Ovis aries: one gene and its partners. The protein of the gene in region 2 purifies or fractionates together with the protein of the main gene of each other region. This does not show direct contact. Links are inferred from orthologs where the notes say so. Each region holds a gene or a part of one and is shown on either strand. Other genes may lie near its edges.

Region 1 (8,299 bases), on a different chromosome or scaffold from region 2:
CGCCTCTAATTCAAACACATGTATGATGTATGTATGTATGTATTTCGGTTACAGAATGCTTCAAGAACTGTTCACTTAAGTGACAAGAAGAAAAGGGAGTTATCTCCGAACATACCTGTAAATTCTGGTCCACAGGAGGTAAAAAAAAAAAAAAATTATGCTAATTAAATTCAAAATGTGAGAAGAATATGAAAAATCATTTAGTCTATCTCGGTCTTTTATAGATGAGAAGCTCAAGTCCAGGGAGGTTTTAGGATTTTAAGATGGCAGTCTCCAGTTTGGTTCATCTCATCAAATCCCAGTCCTCACTTCTTTCTGAGGCATTGAATTCTGTCCCTGTCATCATTTTATGTGAAGACTGGTTTCCCAGGGTAGTACATCGCAAATCACTGATACACTTCTGCCACTATAAGCTGTACTACCTGCTTTGTTCTTAACTTCTTACAATGACTGGATAAAGGGAAAATGCTATTTATGTGGCTATTCAAATAGAAGGATTTCTTTAGTAGCATTTATTCAGAATTATTTCATATTAATCATTTCTTTTAGGAATATATATGTTCTCTATACAGATTCAGAAAAGTAATAATACCTTCAAAATGAACCATAAAACACAGTATATAGTCTTTACATATGCTGTCTCTTGGATCTTTGAGCCCATACATGCACGCTTTTAGATAGGTATACAGAAAGAACCTGAGGACCAGATTATTTAAATGACTTGTCAAAGGTTAGGCAGTAATTCCACAACACAGCTAGGATTGGAGCCAAGTTCAATATTACTTCTTCCATGAATTTCTGCTCCTCCGTGTTGAAGGAGCCTGAGGCTTGAGAATAGGCATTTGATCTGAATCAGTATCAGGTAATCAGAGTTACAGATCTCTAGTTGTTCATCAGTTGGACAGTCTGTGAGATTATATACAAAATATTGAAAAAATAATGGTTTCTAATATATTTAACTATTGCCCCACCCACTCAATTGACCTGATAAATCAAGTTCACTTTGCTTTTTATTTCATATATGTGTTTAATTTTGTAAAGTATAATTTGTGTTAGTCTTGAGTCTTTGTTTATAATAAGCCAAAAGCAAGACCTGTTTAGAAATTAAAGCTGTATAACTTTTTAAATAATTTTGCATTAACATAAATAATTTATCTTCTATTTATTTTAGGAATCATGTGGATCCTCTCAGCTCCATAAAACTAGTGGTTCTCCTGGAACCTCAGTGTCCCTGTCAACTCCTCAAGACGATGACTTTTTATCTGGTGTGTATATTTTTCAGTCAGTTATTACTTACAAGTTTTCAATTTTCTTTCAAGATCATATTCTTGCAGGTAGTCATGGTTCGTATGGAACATGTCTTTCGTTTGCATTCATAACTTATTTTTTAAAAGTGACAGTCTGAAGATGTAAAAATAGTAATGGGATGTTAAATACATTTAAGTATAAAAAGCATTCTGTTAGACACTACAGAAATATTTTTTTTAATATCTTATAAGAAAGAACAAAAATATTTCTCAGTCACCATAGTATTAGATAAAAAGCAATATATTGTATGAGATATAGGGATGTAGAGCTATGGTAGTATAGTGGAAAAGTAACATTTTTTACAAAGTACTTTCACAACAACCTTGTGAGGGAGATATTCCTCATTTTACAGATTCTTAAGATCAAGACTGCTGGATCACATAGTTAGTAACTGGCAAATCCAAGATTTGAACCCAGGTCTTTTTGATAAATATTTTCATGTCACTCTACTACACCATGTTGTCATCACGAAGAAATTATTTCTGGCTGAAAGTTGGATCTGTAGTTATAAAGGATGGGCATTCCAGGCAAAAGGAGCTACATAGAGGCAAAGAAGCAAGAAAACCCAGAGAACAGTGAGTAGTTGGGTCTAGCTGGCGAAGACGGTGAATGAAAGGTCATCAAAGATGAGGAGGGTGGAGTCATCAGGACGAATTCTAATACTAGGCTAAGCCATTTGGACTCATTTGCTTGAGTAGGAAACAACTATTGCAAATTTTTGAACAAGGGTATGTGTGACATGATAAACTTTTTTGCTTTAGAAAGATTCATCCTGGCTGGAATATGTAGGATATTTTGGAAGGGAAAGGAGATTCGAGGTGGGGAGCCCAGTTAGGAGACTGCTGCTGCTGCTGCATCGCTTCAGTCGTGTCCGACTCTGTGCCACCCTGTAGACAGCAGCCCACTAGGCTCCCCCATCCCTGGGATTCTCCACACTGGAGTGGGCTGCCATTTCCTTCAATGCAGAAAAGTGAAAGTGAAGTCGCTCGGTTGTGCCCAACTCTTGGCGACCCCATGGCCTTCAGCCTACCAGGCTCCTCCGTCCATGGGATTTTCCAGGCAAGAGTACTGGAGTGGGGTGCCATCGCCTTCTCTGAGTTAGGAGTCTATTGGTCTATTAATGTACTCCATGAGAAATTATGAAACCTTCTCCAGAGTATAAGAAGCGGAGAACGGTGTGAGAAACATTACAGAGGACACACTGATAGGACTACAGCTTTTCACTTGTAGGAGGGAATAGAGAAAAAAAAAGATGAACATAAAGCTAAAGCTTTGAACAAGTTTAGTTGGAAGAACATTGGTGCTATTAACAGAAATAGGAGTTGAAATGAGTTTTAGAGCTAAGATGAATAATTTTTTTTAACTTTTTACAGTTTGAGGTGAACATGTAAACACAGGCACATATGAGGGTTATATCCTGTTGAAAATCCAAGACTTAAGGTTCAGTGAAGACAGAAAATTCAATTACATGGATTTGGGAAGAGAGGTGACCATTGAGACGTTGATGTTTAATAAGATTGCCAAAGGAAACTGGCAAGACATATATATAAATTCACCAGACACGTTTGAAGTACGGAAGGGGGAAGATGACACAAAAGGAAAAATATGATACGATATAAAGAAGTAAAATCCTATGATTTATAATTTATATAGGACAGACAAGCACAGACAGAAATATGGTTTAAAAAAAATTCATCATAAACCTTTTTGATCTAAAAACTATTTACTTGTGAGTTAGGTTTATGGATGAGCTTATGCAATGAAAATGAAAAGACAATTAAATTCCACCCTCTGTGTGATCCAGACATTCATATTTTAGCTAATAGGAATATTCTACCCCTAATGGAGATGTTGTGTTTTATAGGAAAAACTGAAGATTTCTCTGCGCTGTGTCCGTGTTCAGTGATTCACAGTCAGGACAGAGACATCTGTGTGGATCATCGGGCAGCGTTCTGTAACCACAGGACTGCCCCATGCTCTTCAGCAATAGTGAATCCTCTCTCAGTTGAGGGAAACTCAGGTAAATCCGTGCTGTGAAACGCTTTGTAAATGATGCCGTTTACCTCACAACTGTGCTATCCCAACTGTATATTCAATAGATACACTATTTAATGTTCAGTATTCTTCAGTATGTTATATATGTACTGTAAATAGGGAAGCACTCCCAATCCCTGAAGACAAGAATGTTAACATGTAAACACAGGCCTAAATGGTATTCCATGAACGTCTATCTAGGGAGGGAGGGCTCAGAGGAGGTGTGACTTAATATGTCACTAAAGTTAATATATTTTTATTTATCAAATATTCAAGTATCCTTTATGTTTAAAAAAAAAATCTGAAAAAAAGTTACCTTTGCCTCCATGACCTACAAAGAGTAAAACTGCAGTGCATTTTCTTGGAGGGGAAGGGAGGAGATAACCCAAATATCAGATTTGTTCCTGAAAATTAATAGCATCCTTCAAAATAGTGCTGTTCCATATTAGCATAATTACAGAAAAATTAGATTTTATGTCTTATTATTTTGTTTATCATCTGATTTTACTCATAGCTATGTATCTGTCCCCACTTTTTTACCTGTCATTGCTTTTCTACAGGGCGATTTCAGCCTGGTATAGCCCAACAGTGGATCCAGAGTAAAAGGGAAGACATTGTGAGCCAGATGACTGAAGCCTGCCTTAACCAATCTCTAGACGCCCTCCTGTCCAGAGACTTGATAATGAAGGAGGACTATGAACTCATTAGTACCAAACCTACAAGGACCTCAAAAGTCAGACAGTTATTGGATATCACTGACATTCAAGGAGAAGAATTTGCCAGAGTGATAGTACAAAAGTTGAAAGATAATAAGCAAATGGGTCTTCAGCCTTACCCAGAAATACTTGTGCTTTCTCAATCACCATCTTTAAATTTCTTTCACAATAAAAGCCATAAAAAGTAACTCCTTCCAAGAAAAGAAGTCAGTGTATAAACAAGTAATTTATATTTTTTTTTGCCTTGATAAAGTTGTTTTCATGAGATTCATTTGAGTATTTAAAACTTTAATGCAGTTTCTTCTTCAGATAAATATTAGTTTCCTTCCATGATATTATAGTATTTTTTTAATTAATACAGTAGAAAGTTTGTGTTTTGCTGCACAGTTCAATTTTTATCTTTGGTTAATTAAAATATTTTTTCAATTAATAATTATATGTTTCTTATACAAAGTAATGTTTTCAGGTTCCACGTGTTTCTCATGGAAACCATTTTCACATACACTTTCTTTGTGGATTATTTGTTGTTTGAGATGCTTGGCTTTTTGAAGTGTACCCCTTAGACTTAAATCAGAGGTAGTATAGCATTCTTATCCTACAGTCTTGGGTTCCAGTCCTCTTCAGAGTTGTTCATTAAGCTCTGTTATCCACATTACACATTTAAATGTTATTTATTGACCTCTTTAAAAGATTGTTTCAAAGATAAAGGAGTACAGCGTATAAAGAAAAACAATCCTTCAGCATGTGCTTTACTCCTGTTTCTAGCCTGAACTAACAACCAAGATAACAGCCAAAATTAACAGATTGATATGTATCATTCTATCGCTTTCTTCCTGTTCATATTTGAAATATATGCTCGTTTGGGGAAGGATTGTTTCTTAATATTATCATTGTTATAACACATCATACTTCAACCTGATTTTTGCATTTAGTACATCATGTGAAGCCTTCCAGATCACATTCAAGCTTAATTAATAAGTTTTGATTGCTATATAATATTACTAGAGCTATTTTTTTTTTCATTTTCTTGTTCAAATCAATGATATATACAGTGTGAGGTGTTTTGCTTTTTTTTTTTTGGTTAATGGGTTATGTCACTAAGGTGAAAACTAATAAGGAATAATAGCCCTTTTCTGAAAATGTTTATTAGCAATGTCAGCAAAAAGTGTGATATAAGATAAATTTGAAAGGACAAACTTTGAAGTTGGGCTATACAGTATGACCCACGGTTTGAAAAAAGTAAAATCAGTAGATGTCATTGAGGCAATTAAATGTTTTATTAAAATAGGTATTTTAGTCTCCATTTTGGAGCTGGGCCTCTGGTGCCTCATTACTATGTCTCTGAGAAATATGGCAGTTACTAGGGAAAGGCAGAAACCACGCATATGAGCTATCTTTTATTATATCTTATTTTTAAAGTGTCTGGATAAAGATTTAATTTGGGAAATGAGGGAGAAAATCATTTGGAGGTTTTCCCCTTTATACAGTTTTTTTTATTATTTTGAATCTTGATGGCTTCAAATTAACTTTTATCTCAGTTTAATGATGTGGTATCTGGATTGATAAAGTGAACTTCGCCCTGGGTTTTTCTTTTTGTTTGTTTTTTGTTTTTCATTTTCTGCCCAGATCTAAAAACTCAAGATTTCCAGTCTGTATGCTTAGGACTACGTGCGTATCAGCCACTTTCTTCCCTAACTTAATATATGGGAAGCACAGATACAGTCGTCCATTTCAGCTCTGCAGACTTTTTCTGCATGAGTAATAACAACGTATTGACGAAGATGGTGATGACAAGGATCAAGATGAATCTACAGTGAGCTCTCAGTACCTAGTAGAATTGTTGCAGTCTCAGCAGCCAGTTTCCATTATACTAATACCTGATAATGCAGTGATGTTTAGGGGAAGGTGCCACAGGGTATTCTGAGTCTGACCTGTCGGTATAGCACAGGGCCTGGCACAGACGCTGTCTGAATATCTCCTCAGTGAATGTCACTGGAATGAAAGCTGGAGAAGAGAGAAGGAAGAGGTTTCCTTGAAATCACACTTCCAAGATGTAATGCGAACACAGCTGGTAGTGGATGAGATTGCTTTAGGTAGTATGCACACAGCACTAAATTAACATTTTAGTCACATAGGAAGTTCTTTTTAGTCAAATCTTCTAGTTAAGTAAAGGAGAAAGTTAAAATTGTGCTATCATCCTTTATCCCCTTTAGTAAAAAGAGAGGACTTCAGGAACAATGTTTAGCAGGAATTTTGTAACTTTGAATTGTTTTGTAACTTTTTGAATTCATTTGAAGATGACCTACATGTGTCACCGTTTTTCTAATCTATTTTTTAAATAGGTAGTAACAGGTAATGCTCACGCACTCTGCACTATATGTTAAGGCAGTGCTACCCAGAAGATTGGTCTGCAGAGCAGCTGCATGAAAATCAGCCAGAACTTGTGAAACGTACCAACTCATGGTCCCTAACTCACTCAGATCTTTCCTACCACTCAGACTCAGTCTCTGATGTTTGAGACCTTTTGTTTTAAGAAACAGAGAGAAGGGGATCAAGATGACAGGGGGGTATGGAACTCACTTCCTTCCACAAATATTAATGCATAAAAAATACATCTACCTGTGAAGCAATCCTTGCAGAAGACGTACTGAAAGTCTGCAGGAAATCTCATACAACCTAGGCTACAACTGAGACCCCCAGATAACCAGGTAAGATAAAGGGGAGAGGGAGGAGAGGAATCTGGACAGGATCTGCCTGGAGAGAACTGGGGAAATATTTCCTCATCCTGGGAACTTCCTTCACTGGCGGGGAGGTCTGCCAGGACAGAGGAGCTTCAGAGGCAAGTGCAGAAGCTGCCCTATACACCAAAGGATGAAAAGAGCCCAGCACTGTCAGTCTGATGCCTCTGCACACTTCCCCGCCCCAGAGACACACCTGTTGCCGTGCCCAGCTACTCAGTGCTGAGACCTGCGCTTCGGCAGACAGACCAGGGGAGGGGACTTGGTCTGGCTGCACAGCCAGCCTGAGGGCCTGGGGTGTGCACGGAACCGTGTGGGTCTGCTACAGGAGCCACGCTGTCGACAGAAGGCAGGGACAGGGTGTGGGTCCAGCGGAACAGCGCCATTATCAGCTTGCTCACGGTGGGGCAGGAGCCAGGTGCAGCAAGTTTAGCAAACAATGGGTGTGAACACTTGGAGGCGGGGCTGGTCCAAATTACTAGCATTCCCAAGCTGGGCACAGGAACCAGCTTCTGCAGGTTTTCATGCCAGTGACTGTGAGGACACACGCACGTCCAAGCCAATGATGGCACCCCCACTCACCCCCACCCCCCCCCCACCCCCCGCCATGGAAGCGGGCACAGAGGACCGGCCAGCAATGGTGGTCTTGGTTGGCATGCACACCCGGTGGCAGGTGGCATCACAGAACCGCATTTACTAGCAAAACAACTCTTGGGGAGAAAATGCAGTTGCTTCTTTCCCAGAAGGAGCCCTCCCGTCCTGTCCATCTCACGGCTCAGCTTAAAACTGTGCTTGAAACTTGTGTAACAACTGGGCAAAAGATCCTACCCCCAGCAGGGTGGTGACAACCACAAAGAAGAGCTCCTGCCCCAGGTTCGTTGCAAGCACCGGTCACCATGACCCTGGCCACACCCGCGAGCAAGGGAATAAGGGCCAGCGCACCCTGAGGAATACGTGGCAAGCATCCACACTGAAAACAGTGCTTGCACCAAAAGTCTGGGCTCATACAGTCTCAGTTCAGTTCAGTTCAGTTGCTCAGTTGTGTCCAACTCTTTGCGACCCCGTGAATCGCAGCACGCCAGGCCTCCCTGTCCATCACCAACTCCTGGAGTTCACTCAGACTCATGTCCATCGAGTCAGTGATGCCATCCAGCCATCTCATCCTCTGTCATCCCCTTCTCCTCCTGCCCCCAATCCCTCCCAGCATCAGAGTCTTTTCCAATGAGTCAACTCTTTGCATGAAGTGGCCAAAGTACTGGATTTTCAGCTTTAGTATCATTCCCTCCAAAGAAATCCCAGGGCTGATCTCCTTCAGAATGGACTGGTTGGATCTGCTTGCAGTCCAAGAGACTCTCAAGAGTCTTTTCCAACACCACAGTTCAAAAGCATCAATTCTTTGCCGCTCAGCTTTCTTCACAGTCCAACTCTCACATCCATACATGACCACTGGAAAAACCATAGCCTTGACTAGACGGACCTTTGTTGGCAAAGTAATGTCTCTGC
Region 2 (7,561 bases):
CCATGAGAACAAAGCCACATGCTGAGGATGTAACAGATCAAAATGAGAGAGAGTCCAGATTCCTGCTGGGCATATGTAGATGCCATAGCAGCCGTATGCTGCCTACCTCCAAACTGCATGTACATTTTTTTTGATTTTAGTTACTTTAGATGGAGGTTTTCCATCTCATACAGCCTAATGTAGTCATAACCAATACATTCACAGTGGGGCAATTCTCTAACAAGGATTTCCAAGCTGTGGAGCCTAATCAGGATATACTCAATGGTACATTGGCTGAGCTAGTGAACCCTACTGACAGTCAAGAACCATCAGCAATATCCATTTTGTGGCAATGCTCAATAGGTTTCAGTATCTTTATGCTTCCTGGAAAAAAAATCAAACATTCAGCATTTTATCTCCTTGATACAATTTGGAACTGCCCAGAGTATGTCATAAGAAGGCTAGACTAGTGGCATCTAAAGGGTGGAAAGCTTGGAATCAGGATAAATATGATTCATGGTTCATCTTTTAACCTCCCCCAAACTATTCCACCTTGCCCATGACCCTGACTCTCATATCCGGGGTTCTTAGGCACTCACATTCGCCTTGAAACAGCAAAACACTAGGAGCAGTAGCAACAGCAATCATTGTAGTAGTAGCAGCAACAGTCGTAGAAATATTTGCTGTTGTTCAGTTGCTAAGTCAGGTCTGACTCTCTACGACCCCATGAACTACAGCATGTCAGGCTTCCCTGTCCTTCACTATCTCCTGGGGTTTGCTCAAGTTCATGTCCATTGAGACACTATCCTATTACAATTTCACATTTATGGAGCACTTACACATATGCCAGACACTATACAAAGCTACTTACAGGTGTTATCTCATTAAATTCTCACAAAAGTATGTAATAGTTGAAAGCATCCATACTCTTATTTTACAGGTAAGAAACCTGAGATTCAGATACTGTTACTTAGCTTGCTTAAGATCACAGCAGGACTTGAAGCTCAGCCTGCTGGACTCCAGAGTCTGTGCTCTGAACTATTATATGCCATGGAGGAAGCTCACAAACCAACAGACCAATCATACTGGCTTGAAAAATTCAATGAAAAGAATTAGCCAGGCTCTATAAACTTCATGCCACTTAGGACAAAGACAAACACAATCACCCAATCACTCAGTCATCCATCTTTGTCTTATACACACATCAGCTTCCACAGATGAGGCCAGAGAATGAAAAAAGGCTGGTGTCTGCTTCCCTAGTGAAATGAATCCCCTAAACTCACCAGAGTTCTTCCAGGGCCATATTCTTTTCCAACATCAATGCTAAGGCTTGAGCACCCACGCTGCCAATGTTGTTCCCCACCAGGCTGGATGTAGTCAAAAAACAAAAATATGTCAGAGCAGTGAGGGACCTCAAAGATAACTCAAGGAGGGCAAAATGCACGGCACACATTGCCACAAGTCCTGGTCTGCTCCATTTCAGACTAATCCTTTGCAGTGCTCTTTCTCATTAAGTCCAGAAGCAGTTTTTTAGAATCCTTCCCAACATGGTTTGCTGAGCAGCTCCCACTAACAGACTGGAATTGACTCTTGAGATAAAGTGTAGCTGATCCAGGGCTTCCCTGGCGGCTGAGTGGTAAAGACTCCACCGGCCAGTGCAGGAGACACGGGTCCAATGCCTGGTCTAGGAAGATCCCATATGCCCTTATGACACTATTGAGGCTGTGCTCTAGAGCCCACGTGCAGCAACCACTGAGCCCGCGTGCCCTAGAGCCCGTGCTCCACGACAAGAGAAGCCCCCACACTGCAACCAGAGAGCAGCCCCCGCCCTTTACAACTAGAGGAAAGCAACCCTGCACTGCAACCAGAGAGCAGCCCCCCGCTCTTTACAACTAGAGAAAAGCAACAAAGACGCAGGACAGCCTAAAGGAAACAATGATTTTTAAAAAGTGTATCTGGTCCAGAGCTTCCCCAGTGGCTCAGTGGATAAAGAATCCGCCTGCAATGCAGGAGACACAGAAGATGTGGAAGACCCAGGTTCAGTCCCTGGGTTGGGAAGATCCCCTGGAGGAGGAAATGGCAACCCATTCCAGTGTTCTTGCCTGGAGAACCCCATGGTCAGAGGAGCCTGGCGGGCTACAGTCTATGGGATCTCAAAGAGTCAGAGACGACTGAGCGACTAAACTATCTGATCCAGCCCAAGATCTTCTGAGTACAGACAGGGAATCAAGACTCCTGAGAGGAAAAGGGATCCAACGTCACCCAGCAAGACTCCGGTGTCCTGACTTCAACTCCAGTGCTCTTTCCTTCTCATCCCGTTATCTAACACAGTGGGGTGAAAATAAAGTTCACAGACCTTCAAAACTGGCCCAAGCTCCTCCCTCCTCACACTGGCTTCCCCCACCAACTGCAGGACGAACTCTGAGGCTTACCTGAGCCACCTCAAGCTCTGGTGATCACCCAAAGCTGCAGCCAAGGCCTGGGCCCCCTCGTCACCCACCTGGTTGCCCCAGAACCTGAAAGGTTCAACAGAATAAACAGTGTCAGTGAGAACCTGCTTTGTGTTCAAGACACGTGCCCCTCCTCTCTGCAGCCCCAGGCAGAGGAGCAGGACTCCCCAGTCCCAGAAAGGTCTCAGGGGGACTCAGGTCCCAGCAAAGTGAGCCTGCCTCCATCTTTTTGGAGGGATGGAAAAACTTCAATTAGACTTTTTGGTTTCTTTAAATCAGACTTTCAAAATAGTTAGAGGCCCACCCAGTGCATATTCTCAGGGATGGGGACTCATTCTCAATGCCAAGTCACAGTTGTGACATTTTCCGACATTGGGTTAGACCTGCTTGTGCTCACTGCCACCCAGGAGTCCCTCGCTATCTCTAGGACCACCCAGAAGAAGGCGAACTCTTCTTCCAAACACTAGTTCTTCATCTCTTGCTCCTCTGTTATATCCCCAGTTCCTTCAGAGCCTCCAGTTCCTTTGGAGCCTCAAGCTCCTTCACCTTCTGGCTTCTCCTCCTCAGACCCACCCTAATTGGGAAACACCCCCTTCAAAGATGGAGCCCAGCTCATACTTTGGCACCTGGCCATTTCCCATGTGGGAAGTGAGGATGGACCCGGAGGTGCCCACATGGGCAGAGAGGACTGGGATGCTCACTGCACTTTCACTCATAAGGTGAACACTTACTGAGCTCTGGCCCCATGCCAGCACCACTCTACACTCCAGGGTGTGACACTGTAATAGCAAAAACCTGCCCACAACCTAAAGTGTGCATGACACCAACTAAACACATCACGACATCAAACCACTGGAATACTGAGCAGCTATTCTTTTTAAAAGTGAGGTCATGTGATATGAACAAAATAATACAGTGTTATAATACAGTATAATAATACAGTGTTAAGAAAAAAGCAAGTTACATAACAGTTTGTATCACGTGATAGTGCTTGAGGGTTTTAGCACAAGACCAAGACCAGACAGGTACCTTCATAAACAGGTGTTGAAAGCTAAACACCCCAGATGTGATCTCAAGAAGGAAGGAGCTCAGTGGGGGCCGCGGCCACCCTCTCCTAGACTCTGTGATGCTACTAATGCATTTTGGACAAGGTCTTATCTCTCCAGCAACACAGTCCCACTCGGGGCTCAAACACAGCCCACGGGCAACTTGCCTGTCTGTAAAATGAGTTGGAACACCTAGGCTCTAAAGTCATTCTTCCTACAGTCTTGGGTTCTAAAATCCCCCCCTTTTTTTTTTTTGTTTTGTTTTGTTTTCAAATAGACCCTAGTTTACACCAGGGCAAGATGGAACAGGAAAGAAGCTCCAGGGGACTGGACAGGTACAAGCCTGTCTGCCCAGCAAACAGAGAAAGCCCCACTTGGGGCCCGGAGGTCTGTGGACTGCCCTTCCCGCCTGTGTCCGACCCCTCTCCCCTGCCTGGCATGACCCCACAGGAAGCCAGGGCTCTGTAGGACCTGGTGCAGCCTCCTCCCATCCAAGGTCCAGGGTCCAAACTTCCCCACTTCCTTCTCTCCTTGGCTCTCACCCCAGGCTGCACATCATCTGGTAAGCTTTTTTACATTACTGATTCCAGACCTTGCATGTAGATAATTCATTTAATTAGCCTGGGGCAGATAGTGGCCTTCTTCAGGAGCCCAGTGGTTCCCACATATAGACCAAGGTAAGAAACACAGCTCCAGCGCTCTGGAGGACCAGAGGGCTTCCTGCCACTGCTCTGGGCTCTGCCCTCCCCCAACCCTGACATCCTGAGCTTCCTGTTTATTGAGCAAAAAGCAAGGCAGAGGCAACAAGGGCTGCCCACGCTCTCCCTCCCCATTGCAGCCTGGGCAGGGGGTGGAGGCGAGAGTTGGGGGTGGAGGCAGGAGGGGGGGTGGAGGCGGGAGGGGGGGTGAGGGGGTGGGGGTTGTCTCGGAGATCTTGGGGCTGAAGAGTTGGTTTCACAGGCTCCTAAATCCTCACAAGCCCTCAACCCCTGCGTGCTGCCCCTCTACCCTAGAATCCCACCTACCCCAAAAACTGCAAGGAGTTGTTAGTTCTGAGACCCTGGGCGAGCACCTCGGCTCCCGCGGCTGTGATGTGGTTGTTTCCTAGCCTGGAAGGGAAGACAGAAGAGAGACTGAGACAGAGAGCGGGGCAGGAGGACCCTTACTGGGCCCCAAGACCCGGGCCTGGGGAGGGGGGTGCACAGGGAGTGTGGCCCAGGCAGAGAAACAGGGACCAGTCCTCCAGCTCCAGCTGGAGACGCGGCGTGTGCTGCTGCAGCTCGGGGGCTCACTGAATGCTCCTGCGACTTCATTTTCCACCAGCAAGGGGAGAGGCATGCAAGGGCCTGTTCTGCAAAGCGCTGTGACAGGTAGGAGCAGGAACCACGACAGTCCAGGGAGGTGGCTTCCCCAGGGAGGGAGAGTGACTCACTCCTCCACCCTCTCCTCTGACTGCGGGCGGGCGCTGGACCCTGCTTTCCTCCCGCAGCCTGCCCCATCCACGGTGGCTGCAGGTGGCATCTACCTGTTTTGAAAGTGCCTGGGGGGTGGCGCTCTGGTGGCTGAAAGAAAGAAAGGGATCCTGCTAAGCCTTCAGGCAAGGGCGGAGGAGGGGGTTTCGGCAAAATTCGGGCACCTCAGAGAGTTTCAGGGAGGTCCCCGGAACTCTCACCCACAGCTCCAGGCTTCCTGGAATAATACTGCCAGTTTCATCTTTCAAAGAAATTTCATTCACTTTAAGCTGACAGACCTCTGACCTTCCTGGGTGACCAAGGGCCCCAGCTGCTGTGCTGGCAAGTCCAGTGCTCCCTCTGCCCCAAGGCCTGCTTCCCACGGGCTGCTCCCAGCCCAGGACTGGGAGACCTGAGCCTCCTCTGTCAGGCACACTGGCTGGAGGACTCCCCAGCAGCCTCTGTCTTCTCTCCAAACTGCACTGGGGTCCAAGATGCTTCCTCCTGACAACCTTCCTTCCCTCTCTCTCTCCCTCACGGTCAGACCTGCGGCTCTCCCAGCCTCCCCCTCCAGCTCCCTTTCCCAATTTCCCCCCATAGGGATTTCCCCCAGCAAATCCTTCCTTGGAGGACTGGACAAACAGGATCAACACGCTGAGAACTTATGTGATTTATCCACCATCTCTAGGGCACTAAGTCCACTATGGAAAGAACCTGGGATACTATGCCAGCTTTCTATGTATATTAACTTGTTTAATCGTCACAGGGCTTCCGCGGCAGCTCAGCTGGTAAAGAATCTGCCTACAATGCAGGAGACTCTGGTTCAGTTCCTGGGTCAGGAAGATCCCCTGGAGAAGGGATAGGCTACCCACTCCAGTATTCTTGGGATTCCCTGGTAGCTCAGCTGGTAAAGAATTCGCCTGCAATGCAGGAGACCCTGGTTCGATCCCTGGGTTGGGAAGATCATCTAGAGAAAGGAAAGGCTACCCACTCCAGTATTCTGGCCTGGAGGATTTCATGAACTACAGTCCATGGCATCAGAAAGAGCTGGACATGACTGAGCAACTTTCACTTTCTAATCATCACAACTACCTATGAGCTATGAGCTGTAATTACTTTCTCCATTTCATAGAAGGGAAAACAGAGACACAGAAAACAGAAGTCACTGTGAGGATTCAGGTCTCAGGGATGCTGGATCCAAACCTTGGTCAGTCTGGCTCCAGGGCCCTGCTCTCAACTGAGATGCTATACTAACCCAAAACACAGACCTCTCAAGTTCTGGGAGCAGTACCTTTTGTTACCCTACAGCCCTCCCTGGAGGTTGCACCAGCCCAGCTCTGGCCACAGCCGCTCTTGGCTTCCTGAGCTGAGGGTGGCAGGTGGTGGAGGCAGAAGAGAGTCCTCAGTACAGAATGGTGCCTCTGGTGTTGGCCTCAGTGGCCCTGCCCGAGACGGAGTCAACAATTTTAAAATGGCAGCTCACCCCCAAATGCATGGAAGCAATTCTTCACTTTGAAGCTGAAACTCCAATACTTTGGCCACATGATGTGAAGAACTCATTGGAAAAGACCCTGATGCTGGGAAAAATTGAGGGCAGGAGGAGAAGGGGGTGACAGAGGATGAGATGGTTGGATGGCATCACAGACTCAATGGACATGAGTTTGAGAAAACTCCAAGAGATGGTGAAGGTCAGGCAAGCCTGGTGTGCTGCAGGCCATGGGGTCACAAAGAGTTGGACACAGCTTAGCGAATGAACCACCACCACCCTGCCTCATAAACCCAGGAGGCAAGAACATCTCAAAGAGAAAAAGAAGCTGGGCCAACCCATGGACCAGCTTGGGGGATGATGCAATGGTGTCAGATGGGAAAGAGATTCCCCTTGAGGCTGAGAGGGTGGGGAGCAGCAGAAACTCAGCCTTTCCAGACTAGAAAGTGAAGTGTTAGTTGCTCAGTCCTGTCCAATTCTTTGTGATCCCATAGACTGTAGCAGACTCCTCTGTCCACAGAATTTTCCAGGCAAGAATTCTGGAGTAGATAGCAATTTCCTACTCCAGGAAATATTCCCAACACAGGGACTGGAGCCATGTCTCCTGCATTGCAGGCATGTTCTTTACTGTGTCAGCCACCAGGGACGCTCAGCATTGGACCCACCTTTTTTGGCAACTAGCTGCCTCTGTGGCGGCAAGTGACTGCTGCATTCCTACCCCGACCCAATGCATGCTGAGTGTACCATCAAGGAATGGATCACCCCAGACAGCCAGTGACACTCTGAGACACAAGGAAGAAAAAAGGTCCTGGAAACCCTCTTCAGTCCTGGGGGCTAAAGGTCAAACAGCAGGAAGCCTCAGCAGCGATGGTCCAGAGTTTGCTGGGGAGGTCATAGCATCAGTGAAGCCCTATTCAGAACGAGACACTGTCCTTGTTTTCAGCGAGGTAAGGTCATATGCCCATTACGGGGCGAGACCAGACCAAACTGACTCAGCTGTGGGGACGAAAGTCTCCAGGAGTAGGGAAGCCCCAGGCTCACCTCAAAGCCAAGAAGTTCTGCTTGCACGCAAGGAGCCTGGCCATGGAGTGTGTGCAGCCATCGGTCAACTTGTTGTTGAACAGACTGGAAAGTTCCAAGAGAGAAGAG
Region 3 (8,176 bases), on a different chromosome or scaffold from region 2:
CAAACAGCCTTTGCCTGTGATGTGTAGCCCCACTTTCTAGCTCTGTTGCACCCTTCTCCTGTAATAAACCATACAATTGTAAGAATTGTCATGGTGGGTCCTCTGGGTCTTTTTCAGCAGCCCAACTAGCTTTAACTACTGGGACTGTCAGGAAGGGGAGTTGTGGCTGCTTGTTGCCTGGAGATTTTTGAAAGCAGTTGGACTGTAGAGCTAAGCCACACCAGCATGGTAGGAAAGAACTGAAATGTGCCACCTAGACAGGAGACATCTAGACATGAGAGAGGCCCAAAGGCTGTCTCATTTCAAAGCCCACGCTTTTCATCACTTGTCTGTACTCCTTTCTGTCTCTTTGTTAGGGATTTCTGTCACAAAGGGAGTCTTCCTGTTTCATAACCTTGTCTCTCTTCTCAGAACTGATATTCAGAATATTTTTTCCTTCTTCCCTCTGTCCTCACCTCCCTCTCCTGTTCCCTGCTGCTGCTGCTGCTAAGTCGCTTCAGTCGTGTCCGACTCTGTGCGACCCCATAGATGGCGGCCCACCAGGCTCCCCCGTCCCTGGGATTCTCCAGGCAAGAACACTGGAGTGGGTTGCCATTTCCTTCTCCAATGCATGAAAGTGAAAAGTGAAAGGGAAGTCGCTCAGTCATTTCTGACTATCCTTATTCCTTTCCCCTTCCCTTCTTCCTTCTTTCTCTTCCCTGCTTCTTTCTGTTTTTCATTTATGTTCCTCCCTTCTTCCTTTATTCTTTTGTTTTTATTTTCCTTCCTTCCCTTCTCCCTTCTCTCTCTCCCTCCCCTCTCCCTCTTCTTTCATCCTTCCTCTTCCTCTCTCCCTCCCTTCCTCCTTCCTTCTGTCTGTCCCTCCCGCCCTCCTCATCTACCATTGGCTTTCTCCCATTGTCTGTCCTGTCATCTTGCAGTCCTGGGTCAAAACCTTGCTTAACCTTCTACTTCACAGTATCTTGGAAAAACTGGACCCAGAGTTTCATCTTAACCTCCTGCCAGAAGCATAGCTGGAAGAGCATGGAGAATGCTCCCTAGCCCACCTCCCAAGTACCTGACAGACAGTGTGAGATAGCACACCGAGAGCCTTGCCCATGAGAGGAAAGTGAAGGATATTTTCCATGGATCTCCTTACAGCCCACCCCCCAAATCCATGCTCCACTTTTTTCTACTGTGCCCTGTGCCCCAGGAGGCTACCCCTTTCATAGTCTGTATTACATGAGCTCCCTTGCCCTCTGGCTTCTGGTTAGGTTTGGCCAGTGGCAAGCACTGATGTGAGATTAGAGGGTGAGAAGAAAGAGAAGTTAAGGTATTTATTCTCTTTGTCCCCTTCTTGCCCAGCCCTGGTTGTAGAAAGGGACGTTCCTCAATGGCCACAACTGCTCCCAGGCAGCCTTCTTGTTGTACTCCATCTCTCATCAGGCTCTAGTTGTGCCTCCCTCTCTTTGCCTCTTCTGCTTGAGGGGTGATAATGACTTCCTTCTGAGGCTTCTCCAGCACACTTTAGCATCCCTTATTGCTTCCCTTATTCTTGCCCACATCTTCAGTCAAGTCGCCTCAGATAAATCCTTTGAGTGTGTCATCAATTTTGTTGTTGCTGTTTAGTTTTGGGGGGCTTTTCATTTTGTTTGGGGTTTGTAGTTGTTTTTCAGGGGAATGTGTTTTGTTTTGTTTCTCAAGGGGTTTGTTTTGGCTTTTTGTTTTGTTGGGGGGGGGCTTTGTTGTTTGTTTTCTTTTTAGGCTGTGCCCTGTGGCATGCAGGATCTTAGTTCCCCAACCAAGGATCGAACCCGCACCCTCTGCAGTGGAAGCACAGAGTCTTAACCACTGGACTGCCAGGGAAGTCCCTGTCTGCTTTTTTTTATTCCAGGACAAGAAATTCCTTGCCTGGCAATGAATTCAATCTGCCCTAGAATGGGGGCCAGGACAGTGCCATTTGCATTGAGCCTGGGGCTTTCCTCCCCATTAAGTGACAGTACATCAGAGCCATGGACTTGGGTCCTAGAAAAATAGACTAATACAGATCTGAAGTAAGGGTGCAAAAGACATTTATTCAGGCTTACAAGGCTCTTGGGATTTTTGTGGAAAAGGGAGGTAAGAAGGCCAGGCTTCACTAGGACTACCAGGCCCTAAACAAGGAGGATGGTACAAAATCACTTCTACTCCTGGCACATTGGCTGGTCTACAGGGTCAGAGGTGCTCTGAAACACATACTTCATGGCAATAAGCAATCATATCTGAAACAGAGAGAGTGAGTCACTTTAGTCCTTTGTAGGGCGGTGAGAATACTGGGTGTTTCCTTTGCTTGCATTGTTCCCAAGTCAACTATTTGGCATCCTTCATGATCTTCTGGAATGTCCGTAATCACTAAGAAAATGACTACTGTGGGTCTCCTGGTCCATGTTAATTGTTCCCATGGCCAGAATTCAACCATGTCTGGGCATGTCTTTTCATAACCTGGAGGGGCAGGCAACACAAAGATATTTTTTTTGCATCAGTATCAAATTGCTCAGGACACCTGTGTAAAGGAGGTTTGCATGAGCACCTGGGGAGACATGAAAATAAAGAAGATGGTACCCAGAAGATGCTGGGATGTTGATTCCCTTGCCCAGCCTCAGAGACACATGTTTGAGCCCTATATGGAGAAAGGCTAATGGCATAAGCTGGTGGATCTGGTTCCCAGCAGAGATGTAATAACGTGGGAGGGGAGCACTACCCTGACACCTGATCATTTGCAGCTTCAGTGATATAAGGAGCCTATACTCGACACAGATGTTCTGTGTGATGAAAATTAGGAAAAACTTGGAAGTAAGGCAAAAGGATGTCCTTTCCATGTCACAGTCTAACAGGCTGCCCAAAGATTATTTGTCTAGAGGAATATGTTTTGCTTGACTTACTATTTACTACTGATTACAGTCAAGTCTCTCTGAAGTCTCTATTAACTTGCAGACTGTTTGTAGAGATGCAAATGCTTCTGTCAAATAGAAATGACAGCCTCCAAGCTAACAGTTGTATTTCCCTGTAGGACATTAAACAGTATTGTATTGAAATCAAACTTCATAGTTTTACTTTATAATTATTTCTTTGAGTGCCTATATGCACTTTCTTTCAAGTTCTCCTTTGTTTATTTATTTGTTGTACTGGGTCATCATTACTGTGCAGTGGCTTCTCTTGACACAAAGCGTGAGCTCTAGGGTGTAGAGGCTTCAGTAGTTGTGGCTTATGGGCTTGGTTGCCCCAGCATGTGGGATCTTCACAGACCAGGGATTGAACCCATTTCCTCTGTATTAGCAAGTGAATTCTTAGCCACTGGACCACCAGAGACGTCAAAATTCTCCTTTGAATCAACTTAACATACTGCTGTCTCCTCATTAATGAATTAAATATTTATAGGGGCTTATTCTATATTTTGTATGTCACATATTTTTAAACATTTGTATTAGAGTTTAGCTGCTTTACAATGTTGCATTAGTTTCTGCTGTACAGCAACGTGAATCAGTAATATGTATACATATATCCGCCCTTTTTTTTAGATTTCCTTCCCATTTAGGTCACCACAGAGCACTGAGTAGAGCTCTCTATGCTATACAGTAGGTTCTCCTTGTCACATTTTCAGTTTTCTAAAAATTATACTTTGACAGTGGACACGTAGCTATGGCAAAGGTGAAACACTCTTCAGGTGTTTAATTGAACAGTGGATATAAATGAGAGGGCTGAGGCAAGTGAGGAGGATGGTGGGTGCCATAAGGTAACAACAGCTGAAAGATAGGTTCGTGAGGATGTTAAAAATATCCCCTGGGGACTCCCAGACATGACTTGGTGAAACAAACGTTTTACCTAAAGTTCCTGATTTCATCTTGATTGTGAAGGCAGAAGGAACTCAGAAAAGGGAAGCTGTCCAAGTTTCACTGAGACATTATTTCAAAACCTTTTCATGGAAACTTCTAATTGGATATCCTTTGGCCAGCTTGAACTCATGTCTAAAACTGTACTTCCTTTTCCACTCAAACTTATTTCTACCATTTTCCCCACTTCTTGAATGGCAACTCTTCTTACCCAGTCCTTCAAGCCTGAAACTGAAAAGTCATCCTGGACTTCTCTAGACTCTACGTATAAAATCAACATGGTCAACGTAAATAAAAAGGTAAACGGAGACAGCCTCAGTTTACCAGAAATTTAGTTTATTTGGGAATAGCAGAGAAATTGCAATTCAAGAAATGCAAGCTGTATCAAGCTACAGGTGAGTCCCTTGAGGGTTCAGGGTGGGCTCCATTTATGGGCAAGGAGTGCAAAGAGGAGGATGTCCAGCCAGAGCGCAAGCAGCAAGTTCACTGGCTTGAGGATGGGGAGGGATGTTTGTTGGTCAGGAGATAAGTCTCTGTCCTCTGGAAGTCAGGCATTTATGGGAAATCAGTCTCTTGGTTAAGTTCCATTCTTCTGAGGACACATGCCTGAGATTCTCTATTTCCAATCCTCCAGTTCCATTTCAGGTTGAAACCCTCTCACAGTACCCAAGTCTTAACTAATTATATCTCATAAACATTTTCCCCTTCCTGCTACTGTTTTGTTAATTCAGTTCTTTATCACCTCTCGCTTGATTAGCCTCCTCACCTGACTTAGGTTTCACCTTTCTTATCACTCATCCTGCCAGTCTAGTTTATACAATGTTGCCAGTTTCACCTCATTAAAAAATATTATAATCATGTTACTCCTCTGATTAAAACCCTTCAAGGGGTGGGGGGAGACTTCAAGGGAAGCCAGTGTAGAAGTGGAGTTGATGGAATTTGATAACCAAGTGAGTCAAGCAATCCGGGATGTGAAAAGACTCTTCAACGTTTTTACTGCCTATAGGGTAAAGTCCAGTCCAGGCTCATAACACTAAGGCAATTTACACCTGCTCTCAACTTACTTTATCAGTCTCATCTTCAGGCCCTCCCTAACAAATACCTTATACTATGATTATATCGCACTTCTCACCATGCTCTTCATGCTTCCTAGTCTTTCTGGCCACTGTTCCCTTTGTCCCAAATGACCTCATCTCTCTTCTCTGCTAAGTTCATTCCTATTCACCTGTCAAACTCCTCCAGGTGGAACTCACTGGTGTCTCCTTAAGTTTGGCACTATAGATGCCTTAATCCTGACACTGGTAGCCCTTGACCAGCTTACCAGCCAACTGGTGGTCACAACTCAATGTCCTCCTCCACCATGTGACAACGAAAGGCAATATCTGACCCTAGACAGGCTCCTGTACTGGGGTGGGGTAAGGGAATACTTAAAGGACATTATTAGGTCAACTGCTAAAATTGGAATATGGGATGATAGATTAAAGTGTTGTATCATGGAAATTCCCTCATGGTCCAATGGTTAGGATTCTGCCTGCCACTGCAGGGGGCAAGGGTTCAACCCCTGGTCAGAGAGCTAAGATCTCACAAGCTGTGTGGAGTGGCCAAAAATAATAAAGTGTTGTATTAATGTAAATTTCTGAAGTTGATAATTGGATTGTGGTTAAAGTAAGAGAATATTACCATACTCTTCAGAAATATGCACTGAAGTATTTAGGGGTGAAGGGCAATGATATATAATTCTCCCCAACAGTTCAGGAGAAAAGATAGAGAGAAAGGTAGATCATACAAATGATAAAGCACATGGGGTAAAAAGTTAACAGGTGAATCTGGGGTAAAGATGTTTGAGGAGGTCATCAGGAGGAAATGACTGCCAGTTGACCCTGGGATTGGACAAGCAATGGGAGGCTTCTTATCCCCTCCCCTGCTTGCTTGGAATTCTGCCCACTGCTCCCATGCTGCTGCTGCTAAGTTGCTTCAGTCGTGTCCAACTCTGTGCGACCCCATGGACGGCAGCCCACCAAGCTCCCCTGTGCCTGGGATTCTCCAGGCAAGAACACTGGAGTGGGTTGCCATTTCCTTCTCCAATGCATGAAAGTGAAAAGTGAAAGTGAAGTCGCTCAGTCGTCTCCGACTCTTAGTGACCCCATGGACTGCAGCCCACCAGGCTCCTCCGTCCATGGGATTTTCCAGGCAGGAGTACTGGAGTAGGGTACCATTGCCTTCTCCAACTGCTCCCATAGCCAGAGGTGATTCAAGGCCAGAGCTCTGAGAGAGTGAGGTATTGAGACCACCTGGACTGAATAAGTGACTGAGCCCAGTTTGGGCCTCTGTGTAAACTTTTAAGATTCTGGCAGGTGGGTGTGGAGATGGGTTTGTTTTGGGACCATCCAAGATGAGCCTCCTATGTAAGTTTCCTAACTTACAAAACCTCCTCCTACCAGTCTGGGGTGGTCTGCCTCTTTGGTCTCTCCTCGCTTCTGAGGATAAGGCGCCAATCTCAAATTTCACCTGGGGAGCTCCAGAGGTTTTGAACCGACAAAAGGGTTTATAACTGTTCTTTAAACTATTTCTTTAAAAAAAAAAATGTATTGGCATCTAGTTGCTTTACAGGACTTCACCAGTAATGAATCCGCCAGCAGTGCAGGAGATGTGGGTTCGATCCCTGGGTCAGGGTTCGATCCCTGGAGAAGGAAATGGCAACCCACTCCAGTATTCTTGCCTGGAGAATCCCCATGGACAGAGGAGCCTGGTGGGCTACAGTCCATGGGGTCTCAAAGAGTCAGACACGGCTGAAGGAACTGAGCGTGCGTGTGTGCATAGTTACTTAACAATGTTGTGTTAGTTTCTGCTGTACAGCAAAGTGAACCAGTTATACATATATCCCTTCATTTCTAGATTTCCTCCCCATTTAAGTGACCACAGAGCATTGAGTAGAGTTCTGAGTGCATGCATGCTAAGTCACTTCAGTTGTGTCTGACTCTTTGTGACCCCATGGACTGTAGCATGCCAGGCTCCCTTGTCTATGGGATTCTCCAGGCAAGAATACTGGAGTGGGTTGCCATGCCCTCTTCCAGGGGATCTTCCCAACCTGGGGACTGAACCCACATCTCTTACATCTCTAGCACCACCTGGGAAACCTAGAGCTCCTTGTGCTATAACAGAAAGTTCTCACTAGTTATATATTTTATACATTATATATATGTATATAAAGTCCATATATATGTATGTGTGTGTGTGTGTGTTTGTGTATACAGTCTTCCCTGGTGGCTCAGCTGGTAAAGAGTCTGTCTGCAATACAAGAGTGAAAGAAAGAAAGTGAAGTCACTCAGTCGTGTCCAATTCTTTGCAACCGCGTGGACTGTAGCCCACCAGGCTCCTTGTCCATGGGATTCTCCAGGCAAGAATACTGGAATGGGTTGCCATTTCCTTCTCCAGGGGATCTTCCTGACCCAGGGATCGAACCTAGGTCTCCTTCATTGCAGGCAGATGCTTTAGCTTCTGAGGCACCAGGGAAGCCCAGGAGACCCGGCTCAATCCCTGGGTCAGGAAAATCCCCTGGAGAAGGAAATGGTAACCCACTTCAGTATTCTTGCCTGGAGAATTCCATGGACAGAGGAACCTGGTGGGCTACAGGCCATGGGGTCACAAAGAGTCAGACACAACTGAGTGACTATATATATGTCAATCCCCACCTTCCAATTCATCCCACCCCTCCTCTTTATACTAGTCTTATTCTAGCATTCTTGCTGTATGTTTGAAATTATCTCCAAATAAAAAAAATTTAAAATCATGCAATAATACCTTTATCAGAGTACTTATATTGTGATTGTGTCTCCACTAGCCTATGAGCAATCACAGATATGGACTGCTGCTGCTACTGCTGCTGCTACTGCTGTTAAGTCGCTTCAGTCGTGTCTGACTCTGTGCAACCCCATAGACAGCAGCCCACCAGGCTCCCCCGTCCCTGGGATTCTCCAGGCAAGAACACTGGAGTGGGTGGCCATTTCCTTCTTCAATGCATGAAAGTGAAAGTGAAGTCACTCAGTCGTGTCCGACTCTTAGCGACCCCATGGACTGCAGCCTACCAGGCTCCTCCGTCCATGGGATTTTCCAGGCAAGAGTACTGGAGTGGGGTGCCATTGCCTTCTCCGAGATATGGACTATGATTCATCATTTCCAGGGAGCATGCCTTCACAGGACAGGACAAATGGTAGGTATGCTATGCATGCTTATTAATTGACCATAAGCATTAGCAAATGCATTCCCTGCAAAGGGTGTACTGATAAGGGTTAATCTCCTGGGTGATGTGTTAGAGGTTCAAGCAAGTT
Region 4 (7,561 bases), on a different chromosome or scaffold from region 2:
GAGGATATCAAACTTCTAGCAGAATATCAATTACATATCAGTGTAGTCATTAGAAAAAGCAGGAAGCCATTTGGCAAGATCTACTCTGGACTGCTGGTATAATCCTGCAGGGGGAGTGCGGACAGGATGCAGTACGGTCTCCACGTGCTCCCCAGCGAGGAGTCTCTCGCTCTGCCCCAGGGGGGCTCCCCTAGCTGGAAGGAGCCAGACATCCACGGGAAACTGATCCGTTTCTCAGAATCAGCACTCACACACTTGGAACTCCCCCCATGTCACTTGCTCTTACTGCCCTAAATGGCTTTGTGCATCCCCACCCCCCGATTCTGAAAGAAGAATGACGAGAAATTGGCACTTAGAGGCACTGGGGTTCTACACTAACTCAACACAACTATGAGACAAGAAAGGGGACACAGAATGTGTGAGCAGACATCGTCACAAAGGTGGTGGGTGTTTTGAATACTGGATGGTGTCCAGGGCAGCCCCGATGTCGTAATTCTTGGTCTGCAGAAGCCTGGTGAGCCAGCCGCCTTCATCAGAGAACCCCATGGATAGCATCTGGGAGAGGGACTCAATCAGCCGGGGATCAGCTTCTGCCAGAGAGAGTAACAACAGCTATGAGGAGGCGGCACTGTGCCCCAAATGTGCCTGTACATGGCCCTTTCACAAGGTCTAATCCTCACAGGGACCCTCCAAGGCAGGGACTGTCAAGCTTTTTCTGTAAAAATCAAGAGTAAATATTTTAAGCTGCTTTGCAGGCTATTTGGTCTCTGTCACAAATATTCAACTCGGCTGTTGACGTATAAAAGCAGCCACACAATATGTAAAAAATTAGTGTGTCTATATTCCAGTAAAACGTACATTTATGAATACAGATTTGAGTTTCATCTCATTTTCCCATCTTGACTTTCTTCCAACCATCATAAAGATGACAAAGTCATTATTGGCCCATAGGCCATAGTTTGCCACTCCCTGCTTCAAGGCAGAGAAGATAAATACTGGCAGCCCAAGGGCTGAATGTGGCACACAGATGGGTTCCACCTGAATAATGGTTTAAATGTCTCTGCCATGTGACAGAGATGGACCAGAGCAGGGTGTGAGTGGCCTCACTTATTCAGTGTGTGTCCCCAGGCTGCCACACTCCCCACGCAGCCCTCCTGCCTTCCACACTACCCCCTCTACATGGTGGCTCCCTGCCTGGCTGCTACTGGGAGCGTGACTGTGGCCCCCGCCTAAGACCAGCACTTTCCACGAGCAGACAGTGGAGATGGGCTCCGAGTCCACTTTCAGCAGCGCACGGCAGCGCCCGAAGCCAGTGCTGCCGCCACGTCGCACCTGCCTTCATAATTCCAGGTCTGCGCTACGTTTTAGAAATTACTAAAACTAGCTGAGCTTACTAAGGCTCATAGAGACGCAGAGGAGACAAAACCAACTCCTAGATTTCTCTTGTATCAATAGACAAGCCCTGCAGTAGAGACTGTAATGCCTGTCTGCGTTGCTAGAAGCAAGTGATAGGATGTCTGAATGGAAAAGGGAGTAGTACAGAACTATCTGAAATCCCTTGCCTGGTGGCAGATGTGGGTACAATGCAGCTTCCTTCAGTCCTGTGGGTCCTTCCTGGGAAGGATCCAGAGAGCTTGGCCCTTCAGATTCAGGCATCTGTAGAGACTGGAGTTCACCTGTAGACGGGTCCACCTCTTTTGAAGACAGATGAGTCCAGTCATCATCTCCTCCTGAACAGTTATCAGACTCCATCTGTTCCTGAAACAGACCCCCAGTGAGCACAAGAATGAGAACAGCCGGCCACCGGACCACAGCCTCAACTCTGCGAGAGACAGGGCACGCAGGACTAGCAAGAGTCCTTTTGCTTTACAGAATTCTAGTGGAGGGCTCACAGGACAACTTAAATGCCACCAACCACTCTGCAACGGAAACGGGCTCTGCTGGCTGTGTGAGTGCCAGGGAGGTGCTGTGACTCGTGCTGGGGGAAGCTCTGGATGTGTTAGGGGGGCACTTGCCTCAGGCTGACCCCCCGACTCCAGGGCGATCTTATTCATTTGCTCCGTCAGAGACTGTGTTGTGCCCTCCACGTCCCTGTCTGGCTTGCTGGGGTCAGAGCAGCAGCTGCTTGGCTGAGAGCTGCACTTCTCCTCTGTGCTGGAGCTGCCTGCAGAGGAGGGGGTCAGGCGGCTTCTCTTGCCTCCATGCTCCACATCAATGTCGACTTCAATGCCTAGAAGCCGGGGGGGAAAACAAAAACTTGATTAACAGCAACATCCCAGGTCAGCTTCAGAGCCACAAAGTCCAGAAACAGACTGTCTTCCCCTCACTGGGCAGGACAGCAGCTGCACCGCAGTGCGGAGGACGTTCTTGTCCTCACTTGAGGCACCCTACTTGCGTGCAGGGGCCGAGCGATGTGAAAAACACACACGCTGAACACGCTACCCCTGCTCGGGCAGGCAGACAGCTCGTGCAAGCTTTGTGTGAGACCTGTGAGACAGCATGTCCACCTCCAATCTCTCACACTCTGGGCACATGCTCACTGAAGGGAAGGGAGGGCACACTCACTGGGTTCATGTTATAATTCGTTTTACTTTCTCCAAGGACACACCCCATGTCTCAGAGTGAAGCAAGTTCAAAAGAACAGGGCCTTCTCTGGTGGTTCAGTAGTTAAGAATCGTCCTGCCAATGCTGGGGCCATGGTTTTGATCCCTGGCCTGGAGCAACTAAGCCCGTGTGCCACAACTACCGAGCCTGTGCTCTGGAGCATGTGAGCTGCAAGTCCTGAGCCCGAGGGTCCCAACTACTGAAGTCTGCACACTCTGTGGCCTGTGCTTCACAGGGGAAGCCACTGCAATGAGAAGCCTATGCAGAGCTAGACAGCAGCCCCCACGTGCCCCAGCCGAAGAAAGCCTGCACGTACCAAGACCCAGTGCAGTCACATATAAACTAAAAAAAATTTAAGACTATGGGATGGATAAACATCAAGGCCCTACTGTATGACACAGGGAGCCATATTCAATATCCTGATAAACCACAATGGAAAATACATATATGTGTTACTGAATCACTGTGCTATACAGCATAATTAACATTATAAATCAATTATACTTCAATAAAATTTAAAAAGCAATATAGATTCCCTGCCCCCACCACAGAGCCTGGCCCACCCTCCAGAGACAACTTTTAACTGACAACGTGCTGCTTCTGTCTTTCCTGACTACTTAGGTTTACCATTGATTTCTAACTCTAGATGATCGACACTTCCCCTGTCCTTTCAAAAACTCACTTTGTGGTAAAAACTGTATTCAGTGTTTATGGTAGTGCCACTATATACACAGTGTTCTTTGCTGGCTGAGGAGTGGGCTTATTTCCTCAGAGTTTTCTGTATCTGTAGCAGTAATGATGCTTTCTTTTTCACTTGGTAACTTTCCCCATATTCTCTCACAGCTTCTCTATAGCGTTTTCTACACAGATTAAGTGTATCAGATACCCCATCCATTCTGGTTTTCCCCCTGGAGACCATCCCAGGCAGGCGTGGAGCTTCCAGCTCCAGCCTGGACAGGCAGCTCTCTGAACCAGAGGCACAGCGCCTATGCCCTTCCTTCCACCCTGGCAACTACCGCGGGCACTCTCTCATCTGTTGGGTACCATTTTCAAGTACCTCTTTCTTCATTCTGGACTTGTTTATTTTGGCCAGAGAGACGGTTCAAGCCCAGGTAAGAAGATTATGACCTTGTCAGTTTCACTCCTGACAACTCTTTTGCTCCCACACTTGATCATTTTAGTTGGGTACAGAATTCGAGGCTGAAAATCCGTTTTAGATGAGACTTTTGAAGTCAGTGTCTTCTAGCTCTTAATGTGCTCCTTAAGTTCCCAAGCTTTTACAGCAGCCTTCAGAGTTTCAGGAGTCTCTCTTTGTCCCAAGGGTTCTGACAGGACAATTTTAAGCTCTGGTGTGGGGTCTTTTTCAGGCCTTGTCCAAGGCATCTGGGGCCCTTTTTAATCCAGAGGTTAATGGTCCTAGTGCCGAGAGACTGTCTTGTATTTGTTCATCTCCTCCCTTCAGTTTACTCTGTTCTCTCTGGAATTCTTTCATCCTATGTTGGGCCTCCAGGATTAATCCTCAAATTATCCCACCTTGGTTACTTTCCTCCATCCATTTTCCATCTTCCAAAGTTTGATGAGATTGTTTTATCTTGTCCTCCATTATTTTTTTCCCTTTTTCTTTATCCATGTTGCTTTATTTTGTTTAACCCCTTCACTATTATTTTAGTAGAGTATGAGGAGCAAGCAGAGAAAATAAAAGCAGGCTTAGCAACTGGTACCCCATCTGCAATATTTACATTGTTTTTCTTCTTCCATTTCCCCTGCAGTTTTCATTGTGAAACATTCAAATAATCAGAAAAGACAGAAGAACAGTACAATGGATACCCATATACTTTCTAAAATGGGTGAATGATGCGACTCTTCTGTAATGAATTTTCGAGATTACTGAATTAGAGTTTTTCCAACTTGATGATAATCTGAGACTTCAGGGCTTAGAAGACTGTACCACAGTCTCTGCCCTGCTATCCCCAAAGCCTCTATGTAGGGGTTGTGGAAGACTCCACGGCCCTGCTGTTTTACATCCTAGGAGTCAGTGGCTGTGACCTCCAGCCAGGTACAGCCCTGGGCTCATGCTCTTGCTCAGCTGGCTCTCACAGCACTTATCAAAAAAAGGTCTCAGTCGCTGACTCACTGTACAGACTGCCCTCTGAGAGGTATTAGTGGTTATATCCCTCCTGGGCCCCTGCTGTTGGAACTAATGTTCCCTTCTAAGCAGTTAGTAGACTGAGTTATCCTGTTAGTTCCTCAAAAGAAAGGAAAATACCTGTAACTCCAAAGACAGAGTTTAATCCATCCCTCGAATGGCTCTCTTGAATAGCTACTCAAACACACATTCCACTGAAACTTGTTTTGTAGGGTTCCAGACTCCTCCCAAGTTAGCAGAAAGCACTCCCGCCACTCTGAAAGACCTGAGAGCCTTAATTCTTACTGCCGAAGACCTCAGAACACTTCTAAAATTATTCCCTTGTGTCCTGAGTGGAGAATCCAGGTCCAGTTCTGAAACACTTCACAAGCTCAGATGGGTCTCAGGATGGAAAGCAAGTGTGACAGTCTCCTGGGAAGCCTTCAGAACACATCGACCCTCATGCCCTACCCAAAATCCACTTAACCAATCAAGGGACCTGGAACTCCTCACTGTTTTACAGTCTCCTGCCTGAATGTAGATGTGGTTTTGTGACTTCCCAAGTTATCTTGTTCATTCTTTCAAAAGAAAACTTTTCTCTTCAGGATAATCAGTTTTAAGAGTTTCCATACACCAAAATATATACCCTCCCATAAAAAAACAAAAACAAAAAATAAAAATCAACCTTTCATTGGTGATTCTGATGTTCAGTGCACTTGAGAACCACTGTCCATTTACTATCTTCCGAAGAAAAATTTTCCATGGCCTCTAAGTAACAACCCATTAGTTGGGATTACTTAAAATCCTACTATGTCTTCACTATGTCTTAAGTGAGTGGCAGAGTTTAGGAATAACCTATCTCCCAATTATTTCATCTCTACTCCACTGTTACCCTCCTTAGAAAGCATTAAATATACTAATTATTTTTCCTCACTTGCTCAAAAGTCTTTAACTCCAATGCAGAAATTGTGTGAGATCTATTTCATGTAGCAGTGATGCCAAGATGTCACTGCTACTTCAAAGCTGCTTCAATGTGAGCAGAAATGGTCTCAGGTTGGAAGCAATGGCAGTCATGCTCTGTGAGCCACAGGGCGGGTGGTGGGTGAGCTTGGACACCCTCCTACAGCATTCTTTCAGACACTGGACACCACTTTTGGACAGACCAGGTAACACTTCCTGCCACTGCAGTCACAAAGATGGCATCATGGATCCATCATAAGTCACCTTCATCAGCTGATTCTTATGGCCACAACACAGCAAGTGCTGTTTGAAGTTTTATTTTTAGCCTTGGGCCAAGTCACTCTATGAAGGTGCACAGCTCACCCACCCAGACACCCACCCTGGGCCTGCACCCTGGGAATCCAGCAGCAGACACGAGAACCTTCCTCCCTCACTCCTTTCCCTCTGACAGTGGCACAAGCCCAGTTCTTAGGAAGCACCAGGAAAGGTTGGGGGTTGCAGAAAAGGGAAGAAAAGCAATATGGCATCTCAGCTAACTACTCACTGAAGTCCTCAAAGAAACCCCAAGGCTCAAGTAAGGAGAAATACAGAGTGGTCTTCCAAAGGAAGAAGATGAAGGGCAGCCTTAAACTGAGCCTGGTTACCCTCCCTAGTGGGATTACCCAACCAAATGCTGGCTGATTCTTGGCTGATTCCACTTCACTCTGTGTGGAAAGCTAAAGAATTTGTCAGGGAGTTCAACCTCAAGCGGCCTGTGGTGCAGCACTTGGTCAAGACTGATTGATATGAGGCCAGCGAATCCTTACTGGTCTCAAAGACACATCAGCTGCCCCTCCTCTGCAGTATCCCAGCTGAAAGCCACAGAACAGCCGCCTGTACACTGGTTACCAAACGCTCTGCTGATGTCAAAGGAGGGGCACTTACCCAGAGGGCTGAGGGCAGCCGCCACACTCTCCCCTACATTCTTGAGGAAATTCACACTGGGATCTTCTGATGGACCAGAGGCTTTGGTTTCAAAAAACAAAAGATACTTTTAATTCAAAGCATCTCTCTCAATGACTGAAACCTGTCACAGTCCTGTCTGTCCCAGAAGCCCTACTCCCGGGGCCTGTTCCCAGCAGCCTATACCCTATTGCTTCCCTCTCTCCCCCTCTCTAGGCCACCTCCTAGGCCCCTTTGTCTTTCACACCACTCCCCCTTCATCTACCTTCCTGGTGCCTAGAAACTCTGTACACAGAGTATAATGTATTATTTACCCCTCCCCCGGAAAAAGCATTATTTACTCAAACAAATACCCTCATCTTTGTCACTAAGGACAAGGTGAGTCAAAGGACATAGTAATACTAATAAAATCAGAATAAAACTAGAATCTAAAAGTTCAGAATGCAAGCTATGTGTAAATTTTTAACTTGGGAACTGTTTTACAAGACTTGAGCAAACCTGGCTGTGACTTTCCTAACAATTAGCATGAACAAGAAGAGAGCCGACTGGAGACGCAGGCGCTGGAGGGGCCTCCCACCTGCATGGGAGGGCCACCGGGGCAGGTGCATTAGTGGCCTTGAGCACCGAGGCACTAGTTTTCCCAGATGTACAATGGAGATGATGCTTGCACTTTGCAGGATTTTATGAGGATTAAATGCACAAACGGCCACAAAGTGCCTAGGCCAGCCACAGGCATGCAGGATTTTAGGGCACAGGGAAAGCCCTCCAGCTCTGCAGGCCCTCACATCTCATCCTTCAGAGGCCAGCAGATACAACCCTCACCTGATTCCGTGGCAGGGCCAGGGTGGGCCTCCCCTGCCTGAGGAGGACGTGGGCTCCAGTTCCCCGGTGGGCCCATCTCCCAGCCAGGCCACCCAAAGTGCCCATGTT

What was found.
Region 1: the proteins of NOD2 (region 2) and RIPK2 purify together in Homo sapiens (affinity purification with western blotting; 12 studies listed by BioGRID and IntAct, with this or other methods). This does not show direct contact. The link is inferred for Ovis aries from reciprocal best matches to the Homo sapiens genes NOD2 and RIPK2.
Region 3: the proteins of NOD2 (region 2) and XIAP purify together in Homo sapiens (affinity purification with western blotting; 3 studies listed by BioGRID and IntAct, with this or other methods). This does not show direct contact. The link is inferred for Ovis aries from reciprocal best matches to the Homo sapiens genes NOD2 and XIAP.
Region 4: the proteins of NOD2 (region 2) and SQSTM1 purify together in Homo sapiens (affinity purification with western blotting; 4 studies listed by BioGRID and IntAct, with this or other methods). This does not show direct contact. The link is inferred for Ovis aries from reciprocal best matches to the Homo sapiens genes NOD2 and SQSTM1.

What each region holds. Positions count from the first base shown.
Region 1 is NC_056062.1:86,799,581-86,807,879, reverse strand, and holds the end of RIPK2 (receptor-interacting serine/threonine-protein kinase 2), read left to right. Parts: intron 1-54; coding exon 55-138; intron 139-1,171; coding exon 1,172-1,265; intron 1,266-3,172; coding exon 3,173-3,328; intron 3,329-3,902; coding exon 3,903-4,246; 3' UTR 4,247-5,642; downstream 5,643-8,299.
Region 2 is NC_056067.1:18,633,763-18,641,323, reverse strand, and holds part of NOD2 (nucleotide-binding oligomerization domain-containing protein 2), read right to left. Parts: intron 7,538-7,561; coding exon 7,454-7,537; intron 4,585-7,453; coding exon 4,501-4,584; intron 2,496-4,500; coding exon 2,412-2,495; intron 1,347-2,411; coding exon 1,263-1,346; intron 1-1,262. UniProt on the Homo sapiens protein: Pattern recognition receptor (PRR) that detects bacterial peptidoglycan fragments and other danger signals and plays an important role in gastrointestinal immunity.
Region 3 is NC_056080.1:107,803,315-107,811,490, forward strand, and holds the start of XIAP (E3 ubiquitin-protein ligase XIAP), read left to right. Parts: upstream 1-4,021; 5' UTR 4,022-4,243; intron 4,244-7,689; 5' UTR 7,690-8,003; coding exon 8,004-8,058; intron 8,059-8,176.
Region 4 is NC_056058.1:1,195,641-1,203,201, forward strand, and holds the end of SQSTM1 (sequestosome-1), read right to left. Parts: coding exon 7,454-7,561; intron 6,695-7,453; coding exon 6,614-6,694; intron 2,231-6,613; coding exon 2,016-2,230; intron 1,759-2,015; coding exon 1,563-1,758; coding exon of another isoform or gene 1,381-1,562; exon of another isoform or gene 591-1,380; coding exon 433-590; downstream 1-432. UniProt on the Homo sapiens protein: Molecular adapter required for selective macroautophagy (aggrephagy) by acting as a bridge between polyubiquitinated proteins and autophagosomes.